Lepisosteus oculatus: one gene and its partner. The protein of the gene in region 1 purifies or fractionates together with the protein of each later gene. This does not show direct contact. Links are inferred from orthologs where the notes say so. Each region holds a gene or a part of one and is shown in the gene's direction. Other genes may lie near its edges.

Region 1 (7,543 bases):
GCCCAGCAGCGGTCGTGCACGACGGAGGAGACGGCGCTCTCCGGCAGGCGGAACTCGGAGAGCACGGACCGCAGCGCCGCCCCCAGCTGGGCCTCCGGCGCGCCCTCCGCGAGCTCGGGCACCGGCCGGGTCTCCAGCACGCAGCGGGCCAGGCGCCAGTCCCGGTCCACGAAGTGCGCGCTGACGGTCAGGTAGAGGCGGCCGCCGCCCCCGCCCGCGCCCAGCGACCTCCAGCGCTCGGCGCACAGCGTCAGGCCGCGGGGGGGCAGGCTGGCGCTCAGGTGCTGCTCCAGGTGCTGCTTGAGGGCGTGGTAGCGGTGCCACAGCAGGCTGCCCAGCTGCGAGGGCGAGGGCGCCGGGTACTGCGGCTCCAGGCAGCCCAGCAGCAGCCGGAAGCCGCGCTCCTCCACCAGGGACAGCGGCTGCAGGTCCCGGAACACCATCTCCAGGATCAGGTCCGTCAGCAGCCCCGCCCGCTTGCTGCTGCAGCCCCGCGCGCCCCCCCCGCCACCGCCGGCCTCCGGGTAGAAGAGCCCGGACAGCAGCGAGTGGCTGGGGGGCTCCGGCTCCGGGGCGCCGGCCGGGATCCCCCCGCCCGCCCCGGCCCCCCCACCGCCGGCGGCGGAGCCCCCCAGCCGCGCCCTCTTGCTCTCCCCCCCCTCAGGCGAGACCTCCGCCTCCTGCGTTTCCTCCTTGACCACCACCAGCGCCGCCGCCCCCCCCCCAGCCCCGCCCGGGCCGGGCAGGAAGGGGGCGGGCGGGGGCGGGGCCAGGAGGGCGGGGAGGGAGTGGTTGCCGGCGGCGGCGGCGGCGGGGGGGGCGGGGGCGGGGGCGGGGCCGTTGTCGCGGATGCTGTGCTTGCGGACCAGGTGCTCCCTCATGGTGGTGGTGCTGTTGTGGAAGGACAGCTGCTTCTTGCAGACGTTGCACTCCACGTGGCTCTCGCTCAGCTGCGTGTAGTAGTTCCACACCTTGGACTTGCGGCGGTCCACCGAGGCGCAGTACAGCGGCCGCCCCAGAGGCCCCCCCGCGCCCCTCTCTCCGCGCCGCTTCAGGGGCGGCCCCAGGCCCGAGGGCAGGGAATAGCCCGGAAACTCCATGGGGAGCAGGGGGAGAGGGCTCCTGGAGGCTGAGGAGACACAAGACGGTCGGCTGGCGACGTGGGGATTCTTGAAGTTCGAGATTCTCGCTGTTCGATAAAGAACAGGCTGGGCAGCTTGTCTTATCTGATGAACGTGATCACGTTACACCTGTTCGCTTCCCCCCTGCCACATCAGCAGGGCCACAATGCACTGCAAGTGTGGGGTAACCCCCACCCTCACCTGGAAGGGCCCCCCGTTATCACACAATTCCCTCCTGTGCTGCTCCCATAACACTTTCCACACCCCTGCCTGGCTCAGGATTTGACACTGGCTTTACTCTTCTTGCACCGTGATTTCACTGTGCTCGAGAGTTCTCTTACCATGATTTCAGTGCTTCATTACACTTCACTGTGCTTTTACCATGACTTCCCTGCTTCATAACACTTTACTTGTACCACGGTTTTACCATACACCACTACTACTACTCTTTACAGTGCTTCTACATGATTTCACTGTATTTGACACCTCACCCTGCTTTTACCACTATTTACTCCCAAAACACTCTTCCGGAAGAAATATCAATCGGAGCCTATCGTGAATACTGCTGTACACTCTCCAGCAGCAGGTAAACCAACACGCTGTGACCCACCTGGAAAATATCTTTGACACTGAAAGTCATTGACTGGAGCCAGACGAGCCGAGTAACTCGTCACACCCGGGAGCTGGACCCACCGCCCTCCGGAGTCCAGAGCCCCAAGCCCCTGTTCTGTACTGCTGCCCTCTAGCGGTGGTACAGCGCACTGCAGCGCCTCTCGCACCCGTGTCAGCTGGAGCGCCAGCAAGCAGCTGACAACGAAGGAGACCAACAAGCCTGCCCATGAAGAGCGCTACAAAATAGGCGACACGCAGTGACTACAAAGGCTGAAAAACGAGGCCACGGATATGCCCAGGACACAGAGCAACCAGGAACGGGCTTGACGGAGTGATGAATCCGGGTCGTGTAGCCGCAGTGGGACAGACTGGCCAGCGGGCAGTGGGTGCCAACGTCACCGCACTGACGCGGGCTGAGATTTCGCGGATTCGTGGCCCGTGTTTGTTGTTGTTGTTGTTGTTGTTGTTTGTGTGTGTGTGTGTGTAAACGCTCAGGTCGAGTCCTGCGTTTCCCGGGCTGTGTAAGTCGCGACTTAAGCCGTCGCTACCCCCCCTCTGCAATGACACATGACTCGAGTAACAGTTTACTTAGACCAGCGGTCAGGTAACGTCGACACCCGGCGCGCCGCCGGCCTGCGCCGGACTGGACAGCCCGCAACACTCACCCGGTCGCTAGGGGATCCTGCCGCCGGCTCGGGGCACCACGGTTACCGGGGAATGAAACGGAAGGCGGGCGCAGAAGCTCGTTCGGAAGTCACACATAGCCGAACCCCAGCCCGCGGCCCACCTTCCGACGGGAAATGATTCTTTCATATCCAGGGTCATGCTGCAAAGTGCCGCACCGCCCGGAAAACGGAGGGCGAAAGGGGACGCACGGTTTAGGGACCGTCCCCCATGCGCAGCGGGAAGCGTATGCGGATTTCACACTTTGAAAATCAAAAAACCGGGGGACGAAATTCTCGTCCTCTCGCCGGAAGGCTGGAGCAGCCCCGCGGTGCCGAAACGCACGATTGCGCGTCCGAGCTGCGCACAGCGGCGAGAGACCAGACCGGTTGTTAAACCGGTATCTGCGGGTACCAGACACCAGCCTCCACCCGACGGTGGACCTCGCTGCAGTGCTCAAAGGCATTCCTGTCGAAATTTCCCTTAAAGCGTTGTTTGGCTGTAACTACTGTAATTCCTTTGTCTAAATTTGGCCAGTTTGAACTGTCTGATTTTTCTCATTCTGTCGAGCTGTGGAACTTCGCTTCAAGGTTTGTTGAATACGTTACTAAATAAAAACTGAACGGGTTAACGGGCGTCCTTGTCTTTTATTAAGGGCATTTGACGGGATTTTGAATTGTAATTTAAAAAAAATCATTGAAAAAACATTTTTTAAAGCTTCCCTAGTGCCTGCTGGTTGTTCGTTTCTAAAAAACACGAGATCGAAGATTCACTGGGATCGGACTGGTTACCATAGTAACGGCTTCCGGCCGCACGGAAGCGCTGTCCGGTATAGGAATCCTGAGCTCGAGGCTGGAGGGCTGGTCCTGTTACCCACCTGAAGGTGTTCGAGACGGGGGATGGAAACTGACTCTCTGTGCTGTCCTCTTAGGGACCTGTTGCGGTAACATTCCCAGGAACACACATTTGACACACACACATACACAATGTAGGAAACAACACGTCAAGCCATGCAATCGGTCTCCCATACACCTGTTTGCAGACACCTGTCAACACTGCAGAATTAGTCCACTAATTTTGGACTATTAGTGTGTACATGCACTTTTCTGTTGTACAGAAGTAGTTCAGGTGGGGAGGTGGCGTCAGCATGCCTAGGCTCAAAAGGAACAAGTAATAGGTTTATTCCAAGCTGAAGAGAGAAGAGGGAAAATGTTTCACCCGAAGAAGGCTCCACAGCCGAAATGTCGTCTTTCTTCTCTTTCCAGCCTGGAATAAACCTATGGCTTGCTCCCTTTGTATCATACTTCTACAATACTCTTGCTTTCACTCTACTGAGATGATGGCATATCGTGGAGATTGTCGAAAGCTTGCCAGTGGCACGGTCACCACTACACAGCAGCCAGCAGCCAGTAGCCATATCACCCTGCAACTCACAACTGGCAACCCACTGGAGCCCAGCAGGTGTGAGCCTGGTCAGTACCTGGAGGGGAGAGACTCCTGGGAAACACTAAGGTTGCTGCTGGAAGAGGCGTTAGTGGGACCAGTAGGGGGCGCTCACTCTGCGGTCCAGGTGGGTCTTAATGCCCCAGTATAGTGACGGGGACACTATACTGTAAACAGGTGCCGTCCTTTGGATGAGACGTAAAACCGAGGTCCTGACTCTCTGTGGTCATTAAAAATCCCAGGGCACTTCTTGAAAAGAGTAGGGGTGTAACCCCGGCGTCCTGGCCAAATTTACCATCGGCCTTTATCAATCATGGCCTCCTAACAATCCCCCTCTTCATTTCTCTGCTCTCCTCCCCACGGATACCTGGTGTGTGGTGAGCGTTCTGGCGCACTATGGCTGCCGTCGCATCATCCAGGTGGATGCTGCAGATTGGTGGTGGTGGAGGGGAGTCCCCATTACCTGTAAAGCGCTTTGAGTGGAGTGTCCAGAAAAGCGCTATATAAGTGTAAGCAATTATTATTATTACACGTCGACAGCGCTGCAGTGTTGTGCTTCACGGTCTCTGGCAGGCGGGCCCGGCGCGTGCCTTTGCTGCGCCCCTCCCACGTGACACGGGCGCCGGCCCGCGGCTTCAGCGAGATGTGTCAGGCGTCAGGCGCAGACCGGAGCGAAGCCCACAGGCGCCGCAGTGTAACCGAAGCAAAGCGCACTGTCAGCGCGGACGCAATCATGGACAATTCCGGGAAAGAAAAGGAAGCACTGGCCCTCATGGCAGAGGCCGAAAGAAAAATCAAATCGTCGCAGTCTTTCTTCGGGACGTTGTTTGGGTGAGTGGCAGGTGGCGGCGGAGCGGGGTCGCGATCGGTTTGGCTGCCGGGGAAGGAGAGCTCGTAGACGGTCTAAGCTCGTTAGGAAAATCCGAGGGCGTGCGGCTGACGGTACAGAAGCAGAGGCCTGGCCGTAAAAGGCTGTCATGTATGCTTGGGAACGCTCCTGGTCATGTGGCATAACGATATCGACCTCCATGCGAAATAAAAGGACACCATCGATAAATACATTTTTAACTTTTTTTTTTTAGAAAAGTTGTACAGCACCGTTGAGCTACGGGCTGAAAAGTTGCTTGATCATCGATTTGCCAGCCTGTTCCTTCCTGGGTCGATTGTTCTGCCGAGTTCGGGGAGGGACGCAGGTCTGGGAGCTGCGGTTACGAGCTCCGCGGTCACATGTGTCGTCGAGTCAGCTGATCACACGACACCAGACTGTAAACAAAGTACTCTGACACCGGGTCCGCATGGTCTGACCCAGTGAGGAGCACTGGTCTGTCTTCCACCGCAACACAGAACATTCAGAGTGTCCTCTACCTGAACTGTCGTGTAGGGACCAGTTGTAAAAGGGCTGTCCCACTGTACTGGGACTGTAGCCCCTATTGTAACAGGACTGTTCTACTGTACTGGGACTGTAGCTCCTACTGTAACAGGACTGTTCTACTGTACTGGGACTGTAGCCCCTATTGTAACAGGACTGTTCTACAGTACTGGGACTGTAGCTCCTACTGTAACAGGACTGTTCTACTGTACTGGGACTGTAGCTCCTATTGTAAGAGGACTATTTCACTGTACTGGGACTGTAGCTCCTATTGTAACAGGACTGTTCTACTGAACAATCCTGTTGTTGTACTGATAATGAATAATTACAGTAGACGATAGAGAATCTTATCGAGGCATCTAAGCTGAGATGCTGTGTTGTAGCAGAAATGGAGCCCAGCAGGACAGTGAGTGTGTGTTAGGGGGCAGCTCTGTGTGTGAATTTCGTACTGTGACAATAAGATAGATAGATACTTTATTGATCCCGTGAGGGAAATTGCAGAAGAGGAGGGAAACATGCAGGTGTGTGCAGGCAGGCAGGCAGGCAACACCCCCTCTTGTGCTTCTGGAGAATCAGCATCTGGGTGAAGTTTATTCAGAGGTAGAGGTGCGTATCTTAAAGGGAAACTGCAGTCCCAGTTTCTCAGACCGGTTATTACAACTTGGTAACAAAATGATTCATTGACCATATAGGAAAAAAAAAGACAAATCTGAATTAAGCACAAGTACTGTAAGTCACCATGTTGTCGCGAACTCAAACATCCGAGTTGCGACGCGATGCGACCCTTCCTGCTCACTAGTCTCCATACTGACTAGTGAACCGATAGGAACCGATTGTGCAGCAGACATTTCACCACAGAAATGATCTGTATGCAAGAGTAAACAAGTAAGTGGTATTTGTCTGTAAAACGTTTCAAAACCTGAAGCAACATTTCTGCTGGATTAAAAGAGATTTATTTACAAAGGAACAGGTTAAGGTTTATTCCGTGTTGAAAGGAGAAAAAAAAAGAGACCACTGTAGAAATGTGTGCCTTCCTTCAGGTGTGTTTCTGCAATGTGAAAAACACAGTGGATTAAAAGCCGGCTTGTTTTGTGATGTAATAGGGCCACAACACGTCACCGGTAGTTTTGTTGCCTCTTTCTCAATCACAGAACACACCTGGGAATTTCAGCAACTATGTGATGTAACTTGGAGGCTTGACAAGTTACTGTGCACGTTTGACTGTTATTGTGGTTTGAAATGCACCCATCAATGCTGTTTTTTTCCTAACCCCGAAATCTAAAATCGTATATTTCAGTTCCCCTTTAGCTTGGGAACTAAGCCACCTCTCGCTCTCCCCAGCAGGGAAGAACGTCTTTCCTCAGTCTCCGCCCACAGAGTGGCTCTGCTTGTGTTTCCACCTGTCCGTTGATCCACTGGACGGGAACAAATTCAGATAATTTCCTTCAGTAAAATATAATTCACTAACTGCAGCAGCATTTGGAAAGATGTTACCTGGGTACTTTAGATCCCTGTTGGCTCAGTTTTGTTTGTCAGAACTATGCAGTGTTAATGCGTTAGGGAATCAGACTGATGACGGGAAGGAACTTGCTCTAAAACATTTGTTTTTACATCTACGTAAAGTAGTAGGCTCTGACCTTGCCTGTGTCCCTCCCTCTGTTCCTGGCTGGGTGTCCAGGGGCTCATCGAAGGTTGAGGAGGCATGCGAGATGTACGCACGCGCTGCCAACATGTTCAAGATGGCCAAGAACTGGAGTGGTAAGAGACAGAGACAGTGAGAAGGAAGGAGGGGTCATAGCGGAGTGTGTGTGTGCAGTGAGGTGTGATGCGGTGCTGTAGCAGTGTGTGTGTGTGCAGTGAGGTGTGATGCGGTGCTGTAGCAGTGTGTGTGTGTGCAGTGAGGTGTGATACAGTGCTGTAGCAGTGTGTGTGCAGTGAGGTGTGATGTGGTGCTGTAGCACTGTGTGTGTGTGCAGTGAGGTGTGATGCGGTGCTGTAGCAGTGTGTGTGTGCAGTGAGGTGTGATACAGTGCTGTAGCACTGTGTGTGTGTGCAGTGAGGTGTGATGCGGTGCTGTAGCAGCGTGTGTGTGCAGTGAGGTGTGATGCGGTGCTGTAGCAGTGTGTGTGTGCAGTGAGGTGTGATACAGTGCTGTAGCACTGTGTGTGTGTGCAGTGAGGTGTGATGCGGTGCTGTAGCACTGTGTGTGTGTGCAGTGAGGTGTGATGCGGTGCTGTAGCAGTGTGTGTGTGCAGTGAGGTGTGATGCGGTGCTGTACCAGTGTGTGTGTGCAGTGAGGTGTGATGCGGTGCTGTACCAGTGTGTGTGTGCAGTG
Region 2 (7,211 bases), on another chromosome or scaffold:
TGCTAAAAATGTTTATTAATAACACAGAAATTGGTTTTAGTGACGGCTTCTACTAAAATCAAAGTAAAGCAATGCTTTTGTTGGAACTGGTGTAAGAAAAAAGGATAATTCCACAGTGCACACCTGATTGGCCTCAGAAAGTTTCACTGGACTCTTTTTTTTACAAGCTGGCGGCATGAGCTGTCTGAAGATGTAATTGGGGGGGTTTGCTTGAGGTCAATGGCTGTCAAATGCCATCGTCATCAGAAATTTCTGTCTGGTACTTGGGCACTGTAACTTGTCAGTTAATGAAAGCTACTTTTATATTCAACACAGGAGAAAACACAGAAATTGTAAGGCTTAGGTGCTGAAGCTGCGAAAGTGGAGATGGAATCACAGAGTTATGCAATACAGAGCAGGGTTTATAATGCAGCATTAACAAAGGAAATGAGAAAACCACACAGCAAATAACAGGCTTTTTATGCTAAACATTAATGCCACTTTTTAAGTTTAGGTACAGTTCCAAGGGACTTCAAATAAATGGTTTTGTAAGAAATATTACGTACAAATTACTACATAAGTCTAGACAGGACATTATTTCTTTATTTACGTTGGCAAATGCAGAATTTGGTTTTAGTCAAATAGTAATTTTAAATATGTATGTTTGGACATATGTAAAAATAAGTAAACGTGTGAACACGTAAATATTTATGTAGATTAGTAACCTGTTATCCACTTCCTGCAATAAACAGAAAGAGTAATTAAAACAGAGGCTATATATTGTAAAAGGATATATGTGATTTCCTTTCTATTGCTACTAGAAAGGTAGACAGATGTTTAACTGCTCCTGAAGCACCAAACCGGATTTGGTCTGAAATGGAGCACAACATTTTTAGTAATAATTGACTTAGTTAACTATCTAAAAGTAAATGATCATTAGAAAACATCTGTAAAGACTATAATAAAAATGACAATGAAGAAAGTCACACATTATGAATTACTTGAATGAAAACAGCCAGATTATTCCAAAGTAAACCTTTGCTATGAGCTTGTAAAATAATTTGTCTTGTGGTTAAACAGTAATCTTTTATTTAGTTTTTCAACAATACCATTTGTTATTTCTCAATAACAGAAAATAATGTTGAAAAAGAGACACTTTCAAGTGAAAGCAGACCAGCAGGATTAACAGTCGGGCAATTTATTTTTTCCTTCATTCTTGGTGTGTCTCTTCACTCAGCTATTAAACCTGTAGTTGTGAATTCCATATTCAGTATGAAAAATAAAGTTTAGTTGAACAGCCTTTAGATTCAGAAGCTTTGAATGATAAACTGAATGTAATGAACTGTTTATCAACACACAGTTAAATTAAAATAACTGACTTGTCACTCTTTTGTTGTTCGTGTTGCCGTCAGGTATTGGGTGTGACTGGAGCAGATATTAGAAACACTTAAGATTAAGTCAATTTCAAGGCATGATTATTTTCTACCAATTGCTCTCAAGAAAATAATAGATGTTATTCCTCGACTGTTGGCAAAACTTTTCCCACAGTCATTTAGGAGAGGATTAATACCCACTGACCGGAAAATGGATAATGTTGCACACATCCATAAAAATAGTGATTATCAGAACCTACTATTTATAATCCAATAGGTCTTATTACAGGTGATCTTATGGAAATGATATTAGAACTTACCTGGCAGATCATATCTGTAGAACAGTAGGGTTTTATAATATAGCAAACAATGATATAGAAAAGGTATGTCTTGCTAAACGATTTTGCTATAACAACAGTAATATATACAGAGAAAATGACATGGTTTATGCAATGTTTTTGGATTAAGAAAATTACTGCAGTATCACAAGGGCCTTTATTATGACCACTTCTCATCCTAATGCACTTTCTGTGGGGGAGCAGAGTGCATTTAAAAGTGAAAACAGGACGTACTTTTCACACAAAGATTTGTGGGAATTTGGTACATATTATCCAGTCATGTTGTAAAAGCAGATACCCTGGGTTCTAGAAACAGATGGATCCACAATTGATCAATTAATTATCTATCATCTAAATAACACAGATGAGCAGAACGGCCTTGTCTTGTCTGTAGCCTTTGTTTTGTTCTTACAAAATTTTGTGTCACGTTTGACTACATTTTGTCTAACCATGTATTGTATAGCTTTGCAAACGATAAATTAAGGAAAATATTAATAGGACAATAGGGTAATGAAAGTAAGTGAACAACTAAAGATAACTTTGTGTGTGTGTGGAATTTATTAATGGCAGATTAATGTATTCCTTCAGTAAAAATGAAAAACATCATTAATAGTTTCTAACATACCATTTGAATATGCATGTTTAAATCAGATTATAGTGTATATATTTATATTAAATATAATATAAATATAAATATATTAAAGGTGGGTAGCTGCGTCAGCATGCGTAGGCTGCAAAGGAACAAGTAATAGGTTTATTCCATGCTGAAAAAAAGAAGAAAGAGAACACAACGTTTCGGCCGTGGAGCCTTCTTCAGGTGTGAAGAAGGCTCCATGGCCGAAACGTTGTGTTCTCTTTCTTCTTTTTTTCAGCATGGAATAAACCTATTACTTGTTCCTAAATATATTAAAGCAGTATTGTTTAACTACACTGTCTACAGAGCTGCATAGAGGTCATAGCATCATAACAGAATGATACACAGACTCCAGAGGTGATTATGTTGTATTCATGAAGAATGAAGGGGGAGAATGTCCCTAATACAAGTTCATGGAGTTTTATATATTCTCTTTACCTGTCCACCTCTCATTACACCACTGCAATTCATAAAACACTTAAGATTAAGAACTTGTTTGTACATGGTATTTTGCCATGCCCTGAAGGCTTGCAACTATTCTTGGCTTTGACCAAAAAATGTTATTAAATGCAAAAGCCATACACCAAATAAAATGTAAAATCAATAAGTTTAAGGTAAGTAGCAACAATCACTCCTTGCTGACAGAACTCTTAGTTTAAATGATTTCTCCATGTTAACTGGTTAGTTGTCAAATATATTTTCTGAACTGACTATATTATTAGTTAGCTTCAGTACCATAACAAATATATTAGTTTACTATACAGTTTAATACAAATAAATTAGAATGTTGGTGATTTGTAAAGCTTGTTTTTATACAAAAGCAATGAACTATTACATTTCTCTTACTATCTACATATTCATTTCAGGATGTCAATGGTCTTTTTATGCAAAAAGGTGTCATTTTTGTGTGTGGTTCACGCAGTTTACCATTACCTTTGTGATCCAAGCTAGCAAATATTTGAGTTCTGCTTCACAAGCCTTTGTGAATCATGCTATGGGCATTTCCTTTGTCAAGTAACATTTTATTGTAGTGCATAACTATGTGCAAGCAAACCTTACGACTATGTTTTCCCATGTAAAACCTAGTATTAGAATAGGCAGACTACCTATTTTCCAAAGTTATTTATGACACATAACCACTTCACATTGTAAATTAAGGAGGGCAAGCATTTCAAAGCAAACTGGACAATGAATCCCTCTCATAAAATCTAGAAGTCTGACTAATGCTGATATTCTTGGCCTTCCCTGTGGTGTGTCAATAGCAGATGCTGACAGCTTCAACATTCTCTGCTTTGCTTACCGATTGAAGTTGTGACACTCTTGTGACTGCAGTCAGTCGTTCTTATAAGGAAGCTACATTTCTATACATACATCAAAATCCAAAAATGTTTTTTTCTTGTATGAGCACTGCTCTTATTATATGATGTATGTAAAACATGTTGTGATTAAATTAAGTTCATCCAATACACAATACATTCTGCATATGTATAAAAATGTCTTCAAATATTTTCATTTCAGAGTAAACGTATATATTACAATCTTCTCATAATTTTATGAGACTTCACACTACATAATTGATTTAAAGAGTAAACTGTTAAACATTTATTTTGAATATGAACACTACGGACTGCATTACACACTCTTAAACCTCCTCAAGTGTGTTTTAATAAATAATTTTAAGTTAGTCTAAAATATGCTTAATGCTTTCAGACTCTATAATATCAAGAACAAAAAAAAAAGAATAATATGGACCAATCCTGCAATCGCCAAACGTTATGTGGAAGGGAGAAAGACCACGTGTATTGGTCTGTCGCAGAAATATGACGTTAAAGACGGTGACGTGTCTTTGTTGACAGCAGATACAGGGGGTTTGCTTTAATTTTCAACGTTTGTGAGAAAGGCATGGTTTAGAAATGGCTGTTGATATAACGTTATTGTTCAAAGCGAGCGTAAAGACTGTGAAAACCCGAAATAAAGCCATTGGGGTTGGATTCGACAGTACAAAAGATGACATCCTGAAGAAAACCAGACTTAAGAGTGACTTCTCCACAAAAGCTAAGGAAGTGGTGAGTGTAATTACAGTCCAGAAATAAGATTCTGGGAATACAAACATTTATAAACCGTCTGTTTTACAGAGAGTTTAGTTATGCAGATTACAGTTATTTTTTCATTGACCGAATATGTAAGGTGTTTTAAATCGGAATGTAGCACCTACACATTTTCTTCACAAAACTGTCGACTTTCTTAATAAATCTCAAATAAATACATTCTAAAAGTGCTATATCATAATGCAATAAGAAGTTACATAAATAAATTATCTCCATTTTCCATTAATTTTGGTGTCCAGAATTTCTACTCGCCTTAACTTCAGAAATGTATAAATGCAAAGTCTGTTTGTCATGTTGTCATCATATTGAGCCGACATGGCGTCAGTTTCAATAGCGATATGCTCAGGATGTTTTTTTTTAATGAAAGAAAGCGTGGGATTTTTATACTAGATGCACATGTCGAGGTTAAGATACACATCAAGGAAAATGTAACTATGAATATATAGTCTTTCTGAAACTGTTTCTTTACCTAATGTGAAACCGTCTGATGTATCATCAATCGTAACTGAAGTTGCTGGTACTTTACTCTGTGGTACTGCAGCAGTACTTACACATTGTAAACAGTGGAGGACTGCAAGTAGTGACGGACCCGGTAGATGGCATTCTTTGCTCTGGAACAGAAAAATACAGTGCAGTCTTAGTGTGGTGACAGAGGATGTGTAGTGTGAGGGTACACTTGAACTAAGGTACACTTTAAAATGGAGCCTGGCATGCAGATACCTATGGTCAAATACCAGTCATTTCTCAGAGGCTCAGGTGTTATTAAACCTTAATAATTACCTTCAGTATTTTATTCTATAAAAATTGAATTTTCATATTTGACTTGCTGATAGCATTCTACTGCATCCTTTGCTGGAATATGACCTTTTTCTGTTACAAAAGATTCCTGGTTCATAAAGACCTTCTCACCACACTACATTTACCCGAAATGTATCTGAACATCTAATGTCACAAAAGCAGAAAAGAAATAATTTGACTGTGCAGACTCTTATTTAGCATTATGAAGATTTAGCCAACAACTTAATTTGATTGTTTTTTTTTAATAATACAAATATGACGTAAACCTTAAAGTGGTGGTAAATTATAAATGAGCAGTGTTACTGATCAGAGGCCCAGGTAGTTTCTGTCATGATGCATGAGGCATAATATGAGTCGAATCATGTTAAGAATCTGTCCTTTTATTCCAGAATCATGTTTAATAGGATTAGGTTATTTTTTTTCTCTCATTTGAGAATTTACCATTCACTTATTCTGCGTTACTCTTTTCCCCATAGACATTTACTGAAGGGCATTTAACATGTTTATTTTATCCTATTTGGTTCGTTTAAAAGTTAAGTAAATGCTTTTACTTTTTTTTTTTTACAATTCTGGATGTAGTCCTTGTTAATTTTAAAAGATACTATTTGAACTATGAAATAACCAAATATCCTTATCAAAGCTTTATTCGTTCAGTCCTTGTTTGTCAAAAAGAGGAAATTGTAAATTCTTCTGTTCTTCACCATTGCATACCACCCAAGTGAAATTTCATTTAGAGTAAAGTTAAAGACAAGTGGGGTTCTTTTGTTGTGTGAAGTCGTATTTCCCCAAGAGAAAAAAAAAACCTTTTTCTTTTCCTTTTAGTGCCATATTCCTGCACTGTCAAGTTATAGTGACTTCACCTTGATGCAACATCTGAGTGTAATTTATTTTTTTATTGGAACCGTATTTTCTGTGCCTAAAACCTTTGACAGAAAGAGCCTCTTGAGCTCTCTAACTGTTCAATGGGACAATTGTACAAGGAGTATTCAATTGTTGTATAGTTGCACTGTTAAAACATCAGCTTTAGCAGATACGACCAGTTAGAGAATGCCTAAGACATTGGAATTGTGAAGAGCCAAAATCTAAAGAGATCTTTAACGGAAGAGAAATGGAAAATTGCAGGAAGATCCAACATCAATAAACTACACAATAGAAAGCCACTGGTAACATAGAATTCATGATTTAACATTCAATCAATGAATAAAAGAGATGAAAACACATTAATTAAATGCCATCAAGAGCAGGGCATTGCCGTGTTGCATTCTGAATGTGAAATGCCTAGAAATCCTATGCAAGGAGGTTGATTCAGCTGCTGGTATCTGTCTCCCTTGTAAAATTGAAATTGTTTAATCGTCAGTTCTTAGTGTTTTGCCCATGTAGCATATCAATCAATGTTTATTCTAGCAATTTCTAGACGTCAGCTGACATTCTGTACGGTAAATTTGGCCTTATTCATTAAGTGCTTCTTTCTTCCATCTGTGTTCTGTTGAAGCATTTCAGTCTTCAAAACAGCTGAACCGGTGGCACCAATGTTTTTAGAATAGTGGAAATCTACATAAAGTTTATGAAACCTTGTATGCATTTCAGTATGAACATTAGGTTATAGGCAAAGTTTAAAAATAAATATTTAAGAAAATAATTGTAATGTAAACCAAAGATTTTATTGCCGTGAATCACAATTTCTCCCTTCTCTTTAACAGTTAAAAAGTTCTTAGATTTTTTTATTTTGCCTCTCTAAATATTTCAAAATGTATAGTTATGAAAACAAAGGACATTAATGTGTTTTTATCTTCATCTTGAATAATACAAAACATGAGGTACTGAATAAATATTTTCATACCTGTTTCTTAAAGAATGCAGACTGTTTGAAATCGGCTGTAAAATACTATATATAGTGGTTTCAATATAGTATTAAAAAATCATATTTTATGAAATACCATTTCAGCAGATTGGTGAGGGGCTGTTTGTATTACATTATACC

Evidence for each region. Proteins that work in one complex are often made in the same cells at the same time.
Region 2: the proteins of alpha-soluble NSF attachment protein (region 1) and stx18 purify together in Homo sapiens (affinity purification with mass spectrometry; 4 studies listed by BioGRID and IntAct, with this or other methods). This does not show direct contact. The link is inferred for Lepisosteus oculatus from reciprocal best matches to the Homo sapiens genes NAPA and STX18.

What each region holds. Positions count from the first base shown.
Region 1 is NC_090698.1:6,291,013-6,298,555, reverse strand, and holds the start of alpha-soluble NSF attachment protein, read left to right. Parts: upstream 1-4,464; 5' UTR 4,465-4,482; coding exon 4,483-4,670; intron 4,671-6,886; coding exon 6,887-6,966; intron 6,967-7,543. Other genes in the region: zbed4l2 (E3 SUMO-protein ligase ZBED1), read right to left, coding at 1-1,100. UniProt on the Homo sapiens protein: Required for vesicular transport between the endoplasmic reticulum and the Golgi apparatus. Together with GNA12 promotes CDH5 localization to plasma membrane.
Region 2 is NC_090696.1:43,625,261-43,632,471, forward strand, and holds the start of stx18 (syntaxin-18), read left to right. Parts: upstream 1-4,145; 5' UTR 4,146-4,237; coding exon 4,238-4,390; intron 4,391-7,211. UniProt on the Homo sapiens protein: Syntaxin that may be involved in targeting and fusion of Golgi-derived retrograde transport vesicles with the ER.